2 linked regions of the Notamacropus eugenii genome follow. The protein of the gene in region 1 binds, or shares a complex with, the protein of each later gene. Links are inferred from orthologs where the notes say so. Each region holds a gene or a part of one and is shown in the gene's direction. Other genes may lie near its edges.

The links. Proteins that work in one complex are often made in the same cells at the same time.
Region 2: the proteins of DGCR8 (region 1) and ERH are in contact, whole or in part, in a crystal structure (PDB 7CNC), measured with the Homo sapiens proteins. The link is inferred for Notamacropus eugenii from reciprocal best matches to the Homo sapiens genes DGCR8 and ERH. Residues at the interface, in NP_073557.3 of Homo sapiens: Lys107, Phe108, Ser109, Pro110, Asp111, Leu112, Leu114, Leu115; in NP_004441.1 of Homo sapiens: Val8, Pro10, Thr11, Thr18, Tyr19, Ala20, Glu27, Lys34, Met35, His39, Arg42, Met43, Phe60, Leu64.

The regions. Positions count from the first base shown.
Region 1 is NC_092875.1:10,520,717-10,531,183, reverse strand, and holds the start of DGCR8 (microprocessor complex subunit DGCR8), read left to right. Parts: upstream 1-5,781; 5' UTR 5,782-5,886; intron 5,887-10,467.
Region 2 is NC_092872.1:310,045,177-310,055,003, forward strand, and holds the start of ERH (enhancer of rudimentary homolog), read left to right. Parts: upstream 1-5,052; 5' UTR 5,053-5,138; coding exon 5,139-5,171; intron 5,172-5,191; exon of another isoform or gene 5,192-5,320; coding exon of another isoform or gene 5,321-5,323; intron 5,324-5,536; exon of another isoform or gene 5,537-5,765; intron 5,766-9,827. Other genes in the region: SLC39A9 (zinc transporter ZIP9), read right to left, coding at 4,945-5,052. UniProt on the Homo sapiens protein: May have a role in the cell cycle.

The DNA.
Region 1 (10,467 bases):
TCATTGCATGATCCTCTAATTGGTTTCCTTGCCAGTTCTAAACATTAGAATTACAGGCCTCTCGTCTCCCCACAGAACATTAGACAGAACTGTGGCTTCGAACAATGTTATCTTCTTCCTTAAGAAAGTAAAAGGAGGGGAGAGGGGGACTCAAGGTGGGGGGAGAGGACAAAGGACCAACTCGCCATCTGAGCCCCCCCACTCAGACCCTCCTCTCTCTTCCAGCTGTAAGATCCAGAACCTCAGGCCCCCTGCCCCTGGTCCCTCTAGGTGACACCATCTGAGGAGCCTCAGTACTTCTGAGTATGTCCTCTTTGGGCAGGAGAACCTACCTGAACCTCAATTCTGGGAGCCAAAACGGAGGCCTAGAGGGAGCTGCGGCCTGCTTTTCTAGCTACACGCTGGTAGGTCTGTCTAGCCCGGCAGAAGCAGCAGATGCCATCAGGAGCCCCATTTTACAGATGGGGACTCAGAATAGGGTTTAGACAAGGTCACCCCAGCCAAGACTTGAGAAAAGGTTTTCTGACCTCAGGACCATGGATGGCTCCTACTGCAGGGAGTTTTATGGTCCAGGCTTGGAAGGTTAGCTCTCCTGCTAAATCTCTTCTCTCCTCAGCTAATTTCCTTGGAAAAGTTGTCTACATTCAGCAATTCTTTCTCAAACCTTTGGAATCTGGCTTCCCAGTCTGTCACTCATCAGTGTCACCACTAATCTCTCAATGACTAAATCTAAAGGCCTTTTCTCAATCCTCTTTGTCAGCCTTCCTGCAGACTTTGACATAGTTGCCCACTCACTCACTCTTTCTAAGCCTTTCTTTTCTCTCTGAGCTTTTACTCTCCTCTGGACCTCCTATCTGTCTGCTTCTCAGTCTCCCTGCCTGAATCTTTCATGCAGGCTACTCTCCCAACTGTGGAGATGCCTTTTAGGCTGTATTTTCTTCCTATGCTCCCTTCCTTGGTGATCTCATCAGCAAACCCATGGTTTAGCTATCATCTCTATGCAGAAGATTCTAATCTATAGATCCAGCCCCAGCCTTTCTTCTGAGCCCCAGTCCCCCATCACCAACTATCTTGTGGATTTCTTGGACTAAATATCCCATAGGCATCTCAAATATAACATGTGCAAAACAGAATGCATCTTTCCTCCCCCACCCCAAACCTGCCCTTCCTCTACATTTCCATGTTACTGTTGAAGAAACCACCAATCTTTCCAACACCTGGGTTCACAACCTTGGTGGTAGTTGTGGGATTAGGAGAATGGAGCAGGAGGGAGAGATGTAGAAACAGAATTTGACAAGACTTGGCAGCAGAGCCAATGAAGGGGAGGAGAGAGCTAAGGATGAGGCCAAGATTGATAGCTTGGGAGATTGGGGAAAGATGGTGGTAATAGGGAAGGCTGAGGAAGGGCTGGGTGGGAGGGAGGCAAGGGCAAGCTAATTAATTGTTTGGGGAATGTTGCATTCTAGATACACTTGGTAAACCCAGTTCAAAATGTCCAATAGGCAGTGGGTGATTTGGGACTGATGCTCAGGAGAGAGACTGAGGCTCCCAAGAATTGATTTGGGGATTGATTACAGAGATGATAACAAAGTTCATGGGAGAGAGTATAGAGAGAAAGAGAAGAGCCCCAGTTACAGCAATGGGGATTCAGAAAGACTAGTCAACCAGGTGGGAGGAAGAGTGAGACAGAAGAGTTAGGACAACCCAGAGAGGAGAAAGTGATCACCTGAGTCAAGTGCTACACGAAGGTGAATGAGGATGAAGATGATCAGATCTGGCAATTAAGAGATGTTGATGACTTTGGAGATTGCCTAAGAGAGAACTGAAGGAAGGGGAAGCCCGGGAGCAGGGAGTGGAGCTCACCAGTCTCAGCCTGGATGTGTAGACACTGATATTATGGCAGTCTAGGAGAATGACTTGTATATTTAGGGGTAGTAGGAAGGAGGTTTGGAGGGGGATTGGTTCATGTGCATTGTGTATCATCAGCACGATTGACTAGTGCAGATTTCCCACATAGACAATCATGATGACACAAATATAATAGAAACTTGAGCATGTGTAGACATGGAATTGGATCTGGTCTGCAAACTACTCAGTAAGGCGAAACCTTTTTCAACTGGCTAGGTAGCTGGCATGAGTCGCATTCTTCAAAAGGCCTGAGAGCCTTGGCCCTGTCTGTTTAGCTGCATTGCCTTGATTCGACTCCTTTGTAGACCATTATTTGGAGAGACAAGAGTGTAAGAGAAGAGACCTTGGGGCCTCTCTCCATCTAGGCCAGGTGCCCTTGAGAAACAAATCCTAATCTTTGATCCATCCTTTTTTCAGGCAAAGGGGTTGGAGCCTCTGACCTTGTAAGTTCAAAAATGACAGAGAGCAAGGCTCTGAGCTTTCCAGCACCTGGATTTTGTAGCCAACTCAGAATAGGAATAAGAAGGGACCTTCAACCCCTGGAGAAGGACTCACTGACCAGTGGTGCCTCTTCCTGCTGTGAACTTGGTGGCACTAATGTCAGACAGGAACCAAGTTACATTTAAACACACTTCCTAAAGACTGAGGTGGTATAGGGAAAAGTATATCACTGAGGCATTGGGAATATTTTTGTCATTGCTATATATTTGAAGTAGATATCCCCTCCTAAAAGCTCATTTATCTGGAGGATAAATGGAATTGAGTCACTGGCACCTAACAGTGGAAGGAACATACCTGGTAGGGGATGGGGTGAATGGTATTAGAGAAGTAATACCTACTAACACCTCAGGGTTACCCTAGAACCCAGAGAAATGATGGAGCAGGCTGGGCTCCAGGACAAGAGGTCAGCTAACAGCTCCTATGCAGGTATATACAGAATTAAATAAAAGATCATTTCGAGGGAGAAGGCGCTAGCAGGTTGGGGGGGGGGGGGGTGTCTAAGAAGGATTTCACATAGAACCAGGTCAGATACTGAGTTATATGACCCAAAGCAGGCCACTCACCTGCAAAATGGAGATAAAAGAAAGCCCCAGTTTATGAGGCTGTTTGTGAGGCTCCCATGAAATGTCTAGAAGGTGCTTTGAGATCAGGCAGCCACAGGATGGCTGGAGGCGTTAAGAGGAGGAAGAGGAGGTTTATACAGGGAGGACAGTGAAGAACAGGAGGGAGAGAGGGGAGACTGGAGGCAGGGAGGCCACTGAGGAGGTTCTTCAATAGAGAACTGATGAAAGGTTGTTAGGAATTGATTCCATATCATTAACTAGGTGGGTCCGAGCTCCTACTTCAGCCCAAGGACCAAAACCTGGAATGTTCTAGGCCTAACTTAAAAGGATCTCAGGATCACAGAGTGAGAGTTGTCAAGGACCTTAGTGGCTGGGTCCAAACTCCTGATTCTACAGATGAGGAAACTGAGCTCCAGATAGCAGGCTCTCTGACTCCAAATCCAGCACTCTTTCCATCCCCCCATGCCCTTCCCTAAATCCTACATGGACTGTATGAGCAGTGTTGCAGATGCCTTCTGGGGTCCACAGATAGATTTTAGGGAACTCAAAAAATTGAATGAAAAAAATACACCTTTATTTTCTGTGACCTTTGGTTGCCTTTGTAAATCTATATATTTTATTTTATTCATTTGAAAATGTTATCCAGAGGAATGGCCATCCACAGGCTTCACCAGATGTCAGGGAGTTGGAGGTGTCCACCTCAAGCACATGAAGACTTCCCAGGGGAATGGGTGGATGAGAAAAATCTGTTCCAGTGGCCATATAGGCGGCCAAAGTAGGTGCCGTGGAGCACTTAGAGCTTGGTCAGACATCAAAGATCCCAAGGTCATCCACTGTATCCAGGCCATAGTCATCATCTTGGACTTGGATGACTTGGGAAGAGAGAGTGAGGCTGAAGACTGTGCAGCTCCATCTCACTTAAATCCCATTCAAACAGAAGTCACCCTGTGAGGTCACTGGTCCTCTGAATCAAAGGATGAGGGTTGTTACCACCCTGCCAGGTAGGCCTTGGAGGCAAAGCCAGGGGGCACCGGGTGGGTGGTGAGGCACCTGGCCCAAGGGATTGCCTGGGATGAAGGATGATGAGGCACTACCTTCCACTCCAACAAGTTTCTGAATCTTCTCAGATTGCTTAGAAATGGTAGCCACAATATCCCAACAGAGTCCGTCACCTACTTTCCTTTTTCTTCTGAGGGAGGCAGTACGAGGATTATTAAGCCCCCATCCACTAGGACCCTGGGCTCTAGCTAGGGATGCTTATTTGAAATATGGGAATTTTAGGAGGGAGGGAAGAAAAGGGGGATGGAAGAGAGAAGAGGGAGGAGAAAGGAGCAGGGACTGAGATGGGAGGAAGGAGAGAAGTGGAAAAGAGATCTACGGGGGTGGTGGAGTGGGGAGTGAGAAGAAGGAATTTCCCTAACTCAGAATAAACAGGTTCCAGTCAGAAACCTGTGTCTAGACTTAGTTTGCCCACCTACGAAATGGGATGAAAGCCACAGGGATGTTAGTGGAGAAAGGCCAGAGAAACTAAGGCCACAGCATCATGGAGGGAGCCAAGAGTGTCCTGAGAAACCATCCCGGGCCATGGGAACCTAGACCTGGCGTTGGGGCCATCCAGGGCGACCCCCATTTTACTGAGGACAAAACTGCTGCTGATGGGAGGCAAGGGGCTTGGCCAAGACCTGGCGCTGGGGCCATCCAGGGCGACCCCCATTTTACTGAGGACAAAACTGCTGCTGATGGGAGGCAAAGGGCTTGGCCAAGACCTGGCGCTGGGGCCATCCAGGGCGACCCCCATTTTACTGAGGACAAAACTGCTGCTGATGGCAGGCAAGGGGCTTGGCCAAGGTCACTTCAAACTCAGGGCCTTCAGATTTCTGTGGATTATTGATCCCCAGGAGCAGGGCCCCAAAGCCCTCCTGGGCCCCGTAGGCTGGGCAGTGGCTTAGAGCAGTGGCTCTGGGGCGGCTGGGATGAGCATTTAAGCACCTACTGAATACCAGGCACTGCACTAACATGAGCCTCCCTACCACCCTGCAAAGCAGGGCCATTATCCCCATTGTACAGTTAAGGAAACTGAGGCAGGGGGTGAAATGACTTGTCGAGCTGGTGTCTGGGAGACACTGCCTTGGAGACGGAGGGACCTCGGAGAGGTCTAACCCCTTTGTTTTACAGAAGGGGAAACTGAGGCCCAGAGCCGTCACGTGACTTGCCCGGGGTTCCCCAGAAAGTGTTGGCGGCAGAATTTGAACTCGGGTCCCCTTGACTCCACAGTCACTGGTCTCCTTGCCTCCCTCTCCCCGCTCAGCGGCTTCTTCACCTTCTTTCCCGTCTCCTCCCCGCCCTTTCCTTCCCCTTCCCTCCCTTCCCCCCTTTCCCCCTTCCCCCCTTCCCCCCTTCCCCCCTTCCCTTCCCTGGTTCCCTCCCTCTCTCCCATCTTTTCTGCCCATCCCCCTCCTCCTCCACGCGTCCTCCTCCCTCCCCCTCCCCCCGCCCAACGGTCCACCAGTCCCCCCCCCCTCCCTTCAGCTCCGGCCCCGCCCCCTCTGCAGCAAACCCGCGCCCGGCTCCCCCACAGTCCCATTGGCTACGCGGCCTGCCACGTCCCCGAAGGGACCAATGAGGGGCGGCGGCTCGCGACAGCGGCTTGCGATTGGCGGAGTCGGCCCTGGGGGCCCGGTGCGTCTCCCCGGAGGCTCGAGCGAGCCCCGCCTCAGCCTGGCTGGCGGTTTAAAGATGGCGGCGGCAGCGCTCGTGCCCCGCGTTCCCTGACGGACGGACTGGGGGGGGGGGGGGACGGACGGAACGACGGACGGACGGACGGGCGGACGGGCGGACGGGCGGACGGGCTGAGGAGAGGAAGGAGCGGAAGGAGCGAGGCGGCGGCGGCCGGAGCGGAGCGGCTCCTGCTCAGGTGGGCGGCGGGAGCGGCGGGAGCGGAGCTCGAGGCCGGGGCGGGGAGAGGCGGGAGCGCGAGCGCGCGGGGAGTCGGAGGGGAGCCGGGGAGGGGGAGGGGCGGCCGCGCCCCGGGGCCCACGCCCCTCCCCCACTGCGGGAGCCCGGGGCCAATGAATGGGGGCGGGGGGGCCCCCTTTGTGGGTCCCGCCACTGCCCCCTCCGCCCTGCCCCGGGGTGCCCCTCCCCCTCCGGCCTGCCTCCCGACCCTCCCCTTCCTCTCCGCTGCCCCTTCGCACCCCCGCCCCGCCCCCTCCCTCCTCCCTTTCATCCGCGTCCTTTGAGTTGATTTGTATTTCAATGGATTTCTCCAGCCGGGGCTGCGGGGGCTTCCTGCCCCAAGGGGCGGCCGGGGCGGGGGCGGGGGTCGCGGGGGTCCCGCGGGGGCCGGGAGCAGGCCGGTCTTTGTCCCGCTCTCCCGCCCTGAGTCCATGGAGAAGTTGTGGCTGGTGGGGGAGGGGCCGGGGGCCGGGCCCCCCGAACCTGCGGGCTCCCCTCCCCCTCCTCCGGCCCTGCCGGAGCGGACTCGGGCGGGGAGAAGTTCTTCTGCCCCAAACTTGGTTCCTCCACGAGAGGGGGCGGGGGGAGCCTGGGGCTGCCCGGGGCCCCCCGACCCCGTGCTCCGTGCCCGGCCCGGCCCGAGGCGGCCGCCGGAACGTCCGGGGCTGTTTGCGGTTGCACGGCCCCTTTTGAAGCCTCTCTCGCGTTCTTTCTGCCCTCCAAACGCTGAAGCCCCGTCCCGGGGGTCCGCTTGGCCCCTCGTGCCCGGGCCCTCGTCTGTGCCTTGGTAGGCCCCCCAACGAAAAGGGCGCTCCGACACTCCCCGGAGCAGCCCTGTGTCCCCTCCGTATTTTAGAGTGAGTGGTGGAGCTCAGATTCTTGGTCAGTCAGTAAACATTGATTAAGCCCCTTCTGTATGCCGGCCTCTGTGCTAAGCCCTGGAGATACAGAAGAGGCAGCAGATGGTCAACCCTAACCCCCCAGGAGCTCGCAATCTAATGGGGCAGACAGCAAAAAAACAGAGAGGTACAAACAAGCTACGTGCAGGAAACAAACAGGGAAAGGCCCGGAGTTAGATGGTTTGGGGAAGGCTTCCTGTAGAAAGTGAGAAGTTAGTTGGAACTTAATGTTCCAAGCATGAGGGACAGCCAGAGAGAAGGACCGGAGCTGAAAGTTGGAGGGTCTTGTTTGAGATAGCTGGGGGTCTGGCCTCCCTGGATTGAAGACTACAGGGTGGGGGGGAGGGTGTAAGAAAGTGGAGAAAGCAGGGGCCAGCTGGGGAAGGGCTTTGAATGCCAAAACGAGCGGTTTACATTTGCTCCGGAGGCAGCAGGGAAACGTTGGAGTTGGTTGCACTAAGTTGCGCTTAGGTGGGTGAATGGAGGACGGACTGGAGTAGGGAGAAACTTGAGGCAGGCGTTCTCCCCAGCAGCTGTGCGGTGATCCAGAAATGAGGGGGGGCAGTCAGGGGAGAGGGGTGTCCCAAAAGTGAAACTGACAGGCCTTGGCACCATATTATAGGGTGTGGAATGAAGAGCTAGAGAGGAATTCAGGATGGCTCCTAGGTTTGGAAGGATGATGTTGCCTTCCGCCGTTGGAGGTCAGCAGAATGTTGGGGCAGGAATCGTCAGCATAGAGATGATACTTAAGTCCATGGGAGTTCACAAGCCCACCTACTGAAGTAGAAGAGAAAGAGCGTTCAGGACAGAATCCTGGAGGTACCTGTGCTTAGGTGTGAGACAGACAGATGTGCGGATAGTTAGGAGAAGAACCCTGAGAGAAGAGAGTATCAGGGAGTGATCATAGAGGTCATGGAGAAAAGGCTGTTGGATTTGGCAACTAAGAGATCATTAGGAACTTTGGAGAGAGCAGCTTCAGTAGAATGATAAGATTTAGAAGCTGGGATGTAGGAGGTTAAGAAGGGAGTAAGAGGACAGAAAGTGGAGACACCTATTGTAGAGAGCCTTTTGGAGGATATTCGCCTCTTAAGGGCAGAAGAGACTAGAGCCCAGGTCTCCTGATTCGGAAGGCCAGTATTCTTTTTACATTCTACTTCAACACTGATATCTAAAATTGCAGTGCCAATGCTAATGGATACCTTTGGGTCTGTTTAATGAAGTTTACAGTATTAGTTTGTTTTGCTTCATGCACATAAGGTGAGGGATCGGGTTTTAGCACCAAATCTTGTCAGTCCAGACTGTACAAAAGAAATAAAGCCTTTTTCTTTCTGAGCTCCTTTAATGAAAACTATGTCTGTCTAAATTAGGGAAGGCCTGCTGCAGAGACCAAACAGTCTCTGGACCATCCAAAAGAATTAGGATCATTGGTTCTGACATAGGCTAAGCAGAATAAAAAGACCTTTTAGCCCACTGATAATAAAACATCATTTTAAAGTCGTCAAAACAGGTTTGATGTTTGTACCTTTTGGCATTTGTGTTAAGCTGCTGCTTGGGTTGGATTGGCCCTGCACTGGGCCCATTTGACCATTCCCATGTAGAAACCTCTCTGTATGGGGTGCTACTGGATGTATAAAAGCTAGTCTTACATCTCTAATGATGGAGAACAGCCATGGATTTGTAAAAGGTTCTGTTGTTTGTATTGCTAGGCTCAGAGAAGATGCTGTGTGGTTATTGAAGAGGCAAAGGCTGTAAGGGAGGGAGCCTTGATCTATGGGAAAGCTTTGGAAGGGTGTTTCTCATTTAGAATAACAGCTTCCAAATTACTGACATGAATGGGGTTTGTGTTCATCTGAATCTCACTTTGGTGCTAATGAGGTGTAGCTTTCACAGATTTGTCTTTGGCCCAGGTAGAGGGATTCAGGTAGTTCAGAACTCTTGCTTGATTGACATCTCACTTGGAAAAGATCTGTGTGCTGATCCAGAATTGCAGCCCCTGAAATAGTCTTTTTGAATTGCCCATGGAGAAAAAAAGCAATCATTGCCTGCCTGATAGCTAACCTGGCGATAAGCCTCCCCCACACATTCTTAGGGTGGGTTGGGAATTACTTGGTATAAGCAATAATGTTGAGGGCTTCATTTTGTGTCAGCAGGGAGCTTGCCACTGCTTCTCCTGACACTAAGCTGATTCAGAAAGGCTGCTTTTGATCAGATGAAACTAGATTGAGCTGATTTCCCACTCTGAGTTTTCTGTCAGTTGAGTGCTGTATTTCATGCCATACACATGTTTTTCATTCCTCTTGTGTTTTTAATTCTGTGGTTTTTAAAGAAAGGCTGTTAACTCTGGAAACATGCAGGAGTTACAGCTCTCAAGGAGCACACTTCCATGACTGTAAGAGATATCATGGCAGCTGTTGGTGTGGGAAAGGCAAACATTTCAAGAATCATTTACCTAACCCAGTTGAAAACAAAAAAGTGCTAAAAACTGACATTGTGGTAAAACCTGATTTTCAGAAAACAAGCAAAGGACCTTTCTAGGGACTGGGATGTATATATTTTTTGAAGCCTCTATAGTGTGACTGTAGCATAGGTTTCTTGAAGTTAGAAGAACATCAAGAAGACCAGTATAAATAGCTGCTAACCGAGGCAAAAAATGTTTGTCTTAGAAAAGACAATACAAAGACTGGAGTACTATGACTAGAAAAAAGATTAATGTTGATCAGTAACTGGAAAAAGAGTGATTTTCACTGTGATAAAACTCACTTTTTCATTCACGATTGTACCAGAAACCCTTGTCAGAAGAAATCCAGGTGAGATTGTAAGATCTTGTCATCTTTATCAGGTTGTATTATATCCACCAACTTTTTGTTCCCAGGAAACCTAGAGATCTTGTCCCCAAGGAAGAGAAGATGATCTCAAATGCATATATCAATATACTTTCTGAGAAGCAGAGTGTATCCAGGATATTCTGAAATGGAGATGGATCAGCTTCAACATGACCTTGAACTAAGCCATGCATTACATTCATATAGCACTTACTGTATTCCAGGAATTGTATGCTAAGCATTTTTACAGATATTATTTCATTTAATCCTCAGTACTATCATGATCCCCATTTTACAGAAGAGGAGACTGAAGCAGCTAGGTTAAGGGGCTTGCCCTGGGTCACCCGTAGGTAGTGTGACCGGATTTGAACTCTGGTCTTCCTGACTCCAGGTTATATCCTGCTCTATCGGGCTCCCTACTTTAGAAATTTATCCAGGAGATATAGGCAAATGTATTTCATTGACTTAGAAACTCACTTAATTTAAATCCTATTGAATACATATAGGCATCACTTAGAAAAAATGTACTTTTCACGCAAGTGCCAACTTGAGTTCCAGAAACTGCTAAGCATTGGGAATTCAAAGCAAGGCAGCAGACACTCAGGAAGCTCCCAGTCCAGTGGGGGAGGCAGCATTCAGATAACTGTGGACACAAGCTCCAGATAGGATCCATCCAGAGAAAATCCGCAGAGGGAAGGTCCTAGTAAGAAAGGGAACTGAGAAAAGCTTCTCAGAGAAGATGAGGTCCTAGTTGAGGCACTGCTGACAGCTAGTGATGCCAGAGTCTGGGGATGGGCTAGCTTGTGGGCAGTACAGGGT
Region 2 (9,827 bases), on another chromosome or scaffold:
TAACTTCTGACTAACATAGCTGTACCGAGCCCCAATATTCCAACTTCCTTATGGACCCTATGGAACAGCATATTCTACTTTAACCACACAATCTGGCTTTAACCACATCACAGGCCCCCAGACTCAGTAACCCAGATCCAATTCACATATTTAAACAGGTGTGTTCTTGTAGTCAACCACAATCACATCATCCATTTAGCCCAAGACAGGACCACAGTACCTAACTATTCATCCTGACCAGACAGGACCACAATCAGAGGGCAGCACGACCAGGATGTTTTACCACTCAACCATTGCCTAATCCCTTAATAAATCATTCCTGCCTTTTCAATATTCATAATTTCTGTTGTGTAATCAGCATCATTAGACTATAAATTTGCTGCATTTTCTTACAAAGTTGCTGGTTCCTTGTGGAACTTAGCCCACTTCATGAGAGGCATCAATCCTCAATAAATGCCTATGCTTGGATTGGAGGTGGTTTGACTGAATTCTTAATGATGGTACAGCCACAACACACCATGGAACTTACATAACATAACTTTTATATTTATAACTTTTATTCCCTTCCATTTTCTCACTAATACTTATCCTAGAGTTGATTTTCCCTATAGGGAAAATATAAAGAAATCAGCATTAACATAAGATTTTTAAAAAATTATTTTTAATGAAGGAGAAAGAGGAGGCAGATGGTATTTCATTTTGGGGCCTAGATTTAGTGAGGGGCAGAACAATGAATACAAGATGAAAGTCACAGATTTCAGGCAGACAGAAAGAAAAATAATAATCACAACTGATCGAAAGTGAGATGGGTTGCATTAAGGGATAGTAGCTTCATCATCAGGAGAATTCTTTAAGCAGGGGCTAGATTACTGCTTATCAGAGACATTATGGAAGATTTCTATTTAGGCATGGGTCAGAATAAATGCCATCTGAGATCCCTTCATACTCTAAGATTTTTGAGATTTTGTAATTATCTTGGGAAGGTAGGTTGGAACTTTGGAGCCAAGTTATGAAGGGTTTTAAATGCCAAATAGGGGAGCTTGTATTTGATATTAAAGGGAACAGGGAGGGAGTCACTGGAGTTTACCGAGCAGGAGAGTAATGAGATCAGACCTAGCGCTTTAGGAATATCACCTTGGCAAGTGTGTAGACAATGAACTGGAAAAAGGGAGGCAGGGAGAGATCAACCAGGAAGATATTGCAGTGGTCTAGGGGAGAGGTGATAAAGGTCTGAACTAGGGTAGAAGTTGTATGAACAGAGAAGGGGACAAGTGAGAGATGGTTAAACAGGTAAGACTTGACAACTGATTATAACTGGAGTAAATTAGAGTGGGTTGACTTGAAGGTTTGGGAATTTGGGTGACTGAGGAATGCTCCCAACAGAAATATGAAAGTTTGGAACACAAGTAGATGGAAGGAGAAAATATTTTGCTCACCAATTGGAGATATGCTAATACACACACAGAGATATGAAGTCATCTTCATGGAGACAAATGAACCCATAGAATCTGATAAAGTTACCTAGAGAATGGGGCCCAGGACAAAGTTTTGAAGTATACCAAAAGGTAGGGATGGGATATGTATGATGAACCAACAAAGGAGACTAAGAGCAATCAGGTAGCTGAACCAAGAGATAGCAAAGTCATGAAAATGAGTCTATCAAGTTACTATTATTAGAGTACCAAATCACTGTATAAAGAATTTCAGTAAGTATTTCCCACACACAAATGAATGCACTGTTTGTTCAGTTGTTTAGTTGTGTCCAACTCTTTATGACCCCATTTGGGATTTTTCTTGGCAGAAATATTGAACTGATTTTTCCTTCTCTAGCTCATTTTACAGATGAGGAACTGAGGCAAACAGGATCAAATCCAGGGCCAGTGCTCTATCCACTTCACCACCTAGCTGTCCTTAAATTAAGAATTTCAGTAAATATTTCCCATACACAAATGAATGCACCATACCATTTTATTTTTACATTTTTGGTCCCCTCAAGTTTCCCAGTGCATTCATTTTATACTTATAGGATCATTTTCCCAAGAAGAGTTGTACAACTTCTGAGAGATGGTCTGTTAATATTGAAAATGTCGGGTTACATTTGTCTGTTACATCTAACTGATGTGTTTCCTTTTAACAATTTGAAATGTATTCATTTCTATTGTGCGTAATAATAATTAGACATTAAGGATCATCATAGTGCTTGGGAAGGAAAATAAAATTAAGCCATCACTGGAAAAAGGTACTCTCACTGTTTCTATTATTCGGATTGACATTACAACTTTACAAACATAAAACCTAAACATTTATTTTTAGTGTTAAGTAATATAAATGAAATTTCTCACCAGTGTAGTACAATGTAAACAATTTAACTGATAATTCAGGAAAATATTGAGTTTAAGAAAGCTTTAACTATGTTGTGGAAAAGAAAACTTTAATGCTGAATTCAATTATAAATGAATGGCTAAATGAAATGATATCTAAGTACAAGTTTTAGACAACTTGAAGGCCTTTTGCTCTGTGTAGTACAGTCTTTTTACATATTCCCTTAGACTTTAGATTTTTTTTTAATGGATGAAATAAAATACATTACAAAGGAAATCAACTGTATTGAACAGTTTAAAAAACATGTATTTTTAAAATTCACAGACATTCTTAAATCTGTCTATGGATTCCTTGGGGGACTATGGAACCCAGATTAAGAATCCTTACCTTAGACAAGGGGTTGGGAACCTGCCTTAGACAATCACACTTTGGGATACAATTTTATAGCACTGCACAAATGATACATAGTTTTTGGCCTGATGAGGGGTAGAGGGTATGGTGCTTCATTGGTAGTAGCTTTTGGCCTTCTAATAAAAACAGGCTTTTCACCTGAATTCATGTGGGACCATACAGGTGTCACTCCCAATAATACTGATTCACTAAAATTCCTAGAGGTTGAGCAGTATGGAAGCAGAGTGAAAGAGGAGAGAAATGACAACCTCCTTTTTCAGTCAGGCTAGTGCCTTTATGTTGCCTCAAAAAGGTTAACTTTAATTTCCTCTGACCCATTCTTTGCTCGTTATTCTTTCTACCTGAAATGTATTCCTCTTCCCATCCAACAAAGGCAAGCTCAAGTAAAGGCCCATCTCTTCCCTCTAGCCATAAAAACTAGGGCTCCTAAACTTTTATACCACTTCGTACTACTCAATGTACTACTTTATAACATACTGTCTTGTTTGATTATTCCATGAGTTCTTATCTCCACATCTAATGCTTCTTCAAGGATGGGATTATGCATTACCTTATATCTGTATTTACAGTATCTAGCACACAACTGGAACTTCATACTTCCAAATACCTTACACCTTTTCTCTTGTATTTCTGGCACACTGATTCTGCCTAAAGTAGATCATCAATAAAAGTTTTCAGAATGAAAAAAAAAGACCTAAACTCAAAATCTCATCAACTCTGACCAACCAAGAGGCCAGTATATTCTTATCTCTGTAGGTTTTGCATTTTGTGAATAACATACATGGCATTTAAAGAATCTATGCTACGTCTATCTTCTCAGCATGCTCAAGGCCTGAAAAATAAACTTTACATTTGCCTAAATATTACGGTATAAGAAAAAATGTTTCGAAAACAAATGTTTCCAAATCTACTTTTTAAATACCAGCATCTCGATCCCTTTCCCATTAGGAGCACACTTAAAATAAAAGTTCTATTTCTGAGATTTTTTTCAGAAACATAGTTGAGAAAAGCTACAAAAATCAAGCTGGCATTGTTTTTCAAAGCAACGACACAAACTGATTTTAACTAGAATCAATCCAATTACCATTTAAAAAGAATCAAACCAATGATCAATTTAAAAGTTTCTTGGTGATAGTTTTATGTTAGTTAGGGATTTGGGAGTAGGAAGGTTTCATGTTAAACTCTTCTGGTATTTTAAGTTAGTCCAGCAAGGGAAAAGGCCTCTGGTTCTGCTGGTTTGGGGATCTGCCCGTACCAATTCTGCTTTACACCAGCTATCTTGAAAACTGAGAGAGAATTGAGAACGTCTTACCTCGGAGAAATTAACAGCCAAGGGGATGATTCCAGCCACGTAACATCCTACCAGCATGGCCAGCGACAGAAGACTAATGGAGAGGAAATCATCCATTTTCTTGTCCTTTCGTTACCCCAAAGGACATCCAACTACTGTTCCCCCCTCCCACCCGGGGTTTCAGAGGGTGCTTAGTTATTTAGACACGTTCGTGGCTCCCGAAGAGCAGGCTTGGGGAGTATCAGCTGCTCCGGTCAGGTCTTTCGGGCTCCAGCCGACAGCAGGTTTACGTTAGTCACTTCTTCCTTGTCTACCAGGGAGAACTGCTGCTTCCTGGTAACAGGACCAGCGAGGGCTTTGGGGGGCCTTATCCCCAGATGACAAGAGCACAAGATTTCTGCTGTTACCAAGGGGAGAAGTCCATGGGGGGGAATGATGCTGTGTGAGACTACTGGCAATCGTAAAGTCACGGCCCTAAAGCTGCGGGACACGGAATGGGGGGCGGGGGATACACTGCCTCAAGAGGCAGGGGAGGCGAGCGAGCCTGTCCCCTGAGTCCGCCCGTCAGTGACCTCCCCCTGTCACCCCCAGGGCCCAGAGCAGCCCACCAGCACCGGCCCACTCTCTTCCGTGTCTAGAGGGCTGAGGAACGGAGGCCGCAGTTCTCTAACGGGAACCTCGGGGGAGGATTCAGCAGAAGCGTGTACAGTGCTCAGTCTCTGGCCTATACCCAGGGGTCCCCCTAGCTGCCCGGCCTCGGCCCGGAGCCTCCCCAGCCGCCGCCATCGCAGCCATTGCCGCCAAGTGGCACCTCCTCCACACATCCACTTCCGGATCTCGGCATTGCCCTCCCCGCCCCCTCCTCCTCCTCTGAAACGTTGCTTCCGGGTCACAACCGTCCTCTCCCAGACACAACCTACTTTTGGTTCTCTTCGACCCAGCCAGCCGCCATCTTTGAGTTGGGCTTGCGGGACTGGATCTCTGTCGCTCCGTGAGCAGCTGATCCCCTGGAATGGGTGTCTGATCATAGGAGCCTAATATTCAGCGTCGTGGAGAGAACAGGATCCGCACCGAAGCCGAAAGCTCCCCGGTAGTCTTTCCCCCCTCATCAAAGATGGCCAGCCAGGCGTCAACGGCTCCTTTGAAGGTATGGGTCTCTGGTCTCCTGGGGGGGGGTGCTCTCGCGTTGCGCCGCCGACTTCCGGTGGCTCTTCTCGCGGGGATTGGCTGTTAGCGGGGTTGCGGCTCAGCTCGTGTGCAGTGGCTGTGGCGGCGGCAGCGGCGGAGCTCCGGACGATGGTGAGAGAGGCCCCGGCGGCTGTCCCCTACCCCAGATAATAACCCTAGGCTGGGAGGGCCGAACCGGAGCTTCCCCTGACCCTTGTGATTCCGCCCTTCTCCCGTCTCCGGGGACTGGGCCCGGCCCCCCGGTGTCCGCATTGTGGCTGACTGACCCCCCCACCCTTCCACCCCTCGCGGTTCACACGCCCGCGGGGACGGCTCGGAATCCCCCTTCCGCAACGTGGGCGACCTCGAGAGCCTGTAGCTGCCCGCCAGAGGCGAGCGCGCTCCGGTCCCGGGGGAGCTGGGCGAGGCCGCGGAGGGCACCCGCTCCAATCCGGCAGGCTCCGGAGGGTGCTGGGGATGAGTCTGCTGCCCACCCCACCCCCACCCCGACCCCGAGGCGACGTCGACTGCTCAGCCTGTTTTCCCTCCAAAATCTGCCGTCTTATGAGTAATGGCATGTGTTTATGGAGAGCAGCCACGGAGCTGCCCTTGGAGTTGGGGGGTGCCCCTTCCACGCGTGGGGGCCGCGGCTCTCTCGTCTACTTCTGAACTGTGTGAATGCTTGTTTTCCTTAGGGCTGTACTTTCCTTCTACTCCCCCTTCCCCCTTTCTGTATTCCCGCTCTTCATATTTTATTACCCGTGCCTTCCCCAAGTGAGGGTTGGATGTAGAACTTAAGAGTTTGCGAATCAAGTGAGCTTCTGTTTGTAAGAGTCTCTTACTCTGCATCAGTTTTAAATTGTAGAGGATCTGTGTGTATAAAGGAATCCTGTACGCATGGTGCCTGCAAATAGGCGGTTATTGAGTCCTTGCGAGGTTGGAGCGAAAAGAATAACTTGGACCGTGGATAATATGTCTTTCTGGGAAATATTTTCAGTGCTTCACACTTTTATTGATCATTTTAAATATCTCTTGTGTTAATAGAGCAAACTAATTCAAAAGGTGCCCCTGACAACAACTTGCTCCTGTCACGCACATTGGAGTCATCTGCTGTTTTTTAGTCTGATTAGAATTTAAAATGGCAATCAGAGAAATTCAATTAGCTTTCTTGTGAAAAACATTTGCTTTCGCATTTCATGACTAGATTAAGTAATCTTGATTTGTTTTTAAAGAATTTTGAGATGCCTTTTAAAGGGAAATATAGGTCTTTTAATTGTTCAACGGCATAAACTACTATGGTATTATATAAACATTTCAAGAGCACCTACTCTGACAGGCACTCTGCATGGGGTGTCAGAATGGGGTACGGCTCTGGATTCAGACTTGAGCCTAGAGGCTTGCTTGTTTAGCAGTCAGGTGGTAATGTTCAAAACTGCATTTTAAAGACATTGGAGAAATGCACAACGTTATTGTGAGGTCCTTTTACCACCGTTAGTTTCAGGAGGACGATGGAGTTGGATTTTAAGGGAGGTAGAAATTGAAGAAACATTTGGAGACAAAATGTTGTCTTAGAATTTGTCATATTAGATTATATTTGGGGAGGTTGAAAAATTGAAGTACCAATGCTAGAATGAATAAGATTACCTAGAATTGTAGATTTTTTGAGGGAGGGGAGATAATTCAGAGTGAAAATGAGTTTCCTAAATTCTACTTAGGTAGCCATATGTTTCCTCATATTTGGTATTAGCATGGTTTTTTACTGTAATTCGTGGTAAAAAGAATTGCTGCTTTGTGTTAAAAGTCCAAAAAAAATTCATGAGGAATGCTTTAGAACAAATTTGGCTAATAGAAGGAATATAAAATATAACTGGGTTGACTATAAAATGAAGAACCTCCAGAAAGCTCTGCAGACAGCGCTGGTATGAGGAAAGAGTATAGTTAAAAAATGCTTTTAGTATCTTATGATAGAAAAAGAAAAATCTTTATTATAAAAATAACAAGTCTGTATTATTTATCCCTTAAATCTATTCAGACCGGTTAAGTTCCATTATGCATTTAGAATTGGATAAACCAATAGTCTTTAAGCCTCTAAGCAAAAGTGATCAAATTTGCTAAAGTTATAAGCTTGGGAGTGATAAATACTACAAGACCTGGTGCAAAGTGCTGATCTCAAACAGTTTAGGGTTTGGATATCAAACAAGGAAGGTTTCTGTGGAGATGGGCTTTGATCCTGGTTACTGAATGAAGGGTAATATTTTGTTAGGAGGAGATGGGTAGGATAGGTAGAAAGATAATAGGAAGGGTTAGGAGCAGTGAACATATCCAGTGTTTGGGGAATGGCCTTTTTATCTAAAATATGGGGAGAAAGGAGGGTGAAAAGATAGTTTGTAGTAATATTATGGAATGTATTGAATGCCAAGAGAATTGAAATTGAAAGAATTATTTAATTCTTATTTTAAGAAGAGAGATCATAAACATCAAGCCACTAGCACTCTTTCAACCACGTGCAGCTTGATGGTCCTAATTAATTGCCGTATCTAATTGATGGGGCAAATCCACGTACACTTGTTCTTTTGATTGTTCTCTTTTGTTATTATTTGTCAATTTCATCCCCCTCCCACATTGACCTTTCCTTTATAACAAAAGGGGCAGCTGTTTAAGCAAAACAAACACATCAACCATATTTTATATAGCCCAGCACTTCTCCCGAGGTGTGGTCCAGGGACTCCCCAGGATACCTGAGACCCTTTTAGGAGAACCTAGAAGTCAAACCTATAATAATGTTACTGTTTCATTTCCTTTTTTCCCCTTATTTCCCATTTAAAATACTTTTCCCTTTTCCAATTACTTGTCTCTGTAAGGCTGGTTTTTCTTCACATAATTCAGTGCAAACAACACATCTCAAAAGTGTGAATGCAGAAGCATTCACAGAAGCAGCAAACAATCCAGTATCCTCTATTAAACCAGGCATTAAAGAGATTTGCAGAAATATATAAAATAATTACATTATCCTTAACAATTTTTTCTTTTGGAAAATATGGAATTTTTCCCACAAAAGTTTAATTAGCATGTGATAAGTTTGTTTTCTTAATGAATTAAATATTTTAAAATTCATCAGTTTTCATTTCTACTGTGGTAAATATCAATATTGAACATAAACAGGTTATTTGTTCTCAATAATTTTTAAGAATGTTAAAATTTGAGAACTGTTGTTACAGTGTGTGCAACATTCCATAGCCACATTCCCCTACCACTCTCCTCTTCTTCAGGACCAAAGATTAATAATTATAATTACATAGGGTAGAATTTAATTTTATCTTTTGTATCGTGTTTTTCCTGGTTATAATTACTTCTCTGTTCATCAATTCTTACAAGTCTTAACTAGTTTCTCTTATTATAGGCCAAATGATATGGATAATTTATCCCTTTTCACATAATTCAAAATTGTTTTCCATGATGGTTATACCATTTCATGGCTCCATCAACATTGTTAGTATGTATGTGATCCCATAGCCCCTCCAACATGAAATAGGTCTGTCGTTTGTCATCTTTGGCAATTTGCTGACTATGAGATAAAACCTCAGAATTGTTTCGATTTACCTTTTAATTATTAGTAATTTGGAGATCTTTCATATAGTTGTTAATAGCTTACAAATGCTTTTTTGAGAAATGTTTGTTCATATACTTTGACCACTTTTCTAACAGGGATTGCATTTTGGTTTTATACCTTTGTATTAGTTAATTTCAGATATAATTGATGCAAGGATGTTTTTCCTTTCTAATCAACAGTTTACTATATCCTAGTTTCATTGATTTTGTTGATGCAGAAACTTTTCTATTTCATGTGATTGAAATTGTTTCGCTTGTTAACTGTTTCTTGCTTGACATTTACTTCCATCTTCCTCCATTTTTTTAAATGATATGACCTTTTTTATGTTTATTCTTTAGGCCATAATCCATTTGGAACTTAATTATGGTATATTGTTTTAGATGTGTTCATCTAAACCTGGTTTTTTTGCCCAATTTATTCCTGTATTTTTTGTGAAATAGAGATTCCTTCTCCAAGTAGTTATGTTCTTGGGTTTATCACTCCAACCTACTTTTGTGAGAGAAGTATGATCCTAGTATCTAACCCAGAGTAGAATAAAACAAAGTAAGGTAACTATTGCCACTATCACTAATGACTATTTAAGCAAAAAGTCTAAATGGAATTCTGACAAAAAGACAGTATATATCCAGAAAATTTTTGGCTGGTAATCATGGATTTATGCCAGGGTGTAAGTATGGTTCAAAATTAGGAAAGCAATTAACCTAAAAAGTCATGTTAAAAGCAAAAGCACACAATTATAGCAAAAGATGCAGAAAAAGTTTCTGACAACAAAAATGCCAAAAACTTTTATAAGCATAGGCAGGAAAAGACCATTTTAAAATATGCATAAAAGTATTTACAGCCAAAACCTAGCATAGTTTGAAACGAAGAGACAACTAAAAGCCTTCTCACTAGGTACACAAAAGCAAAGCTGTTCTCTCTCGTTATTTGACACAATTCTCAAAATGCTATTAGACATGAAAAAGAATTTGAAGTCGTAAACAGTGGCAAAGAAGGAACAAAATTATCATGACAGATTACTCAGGA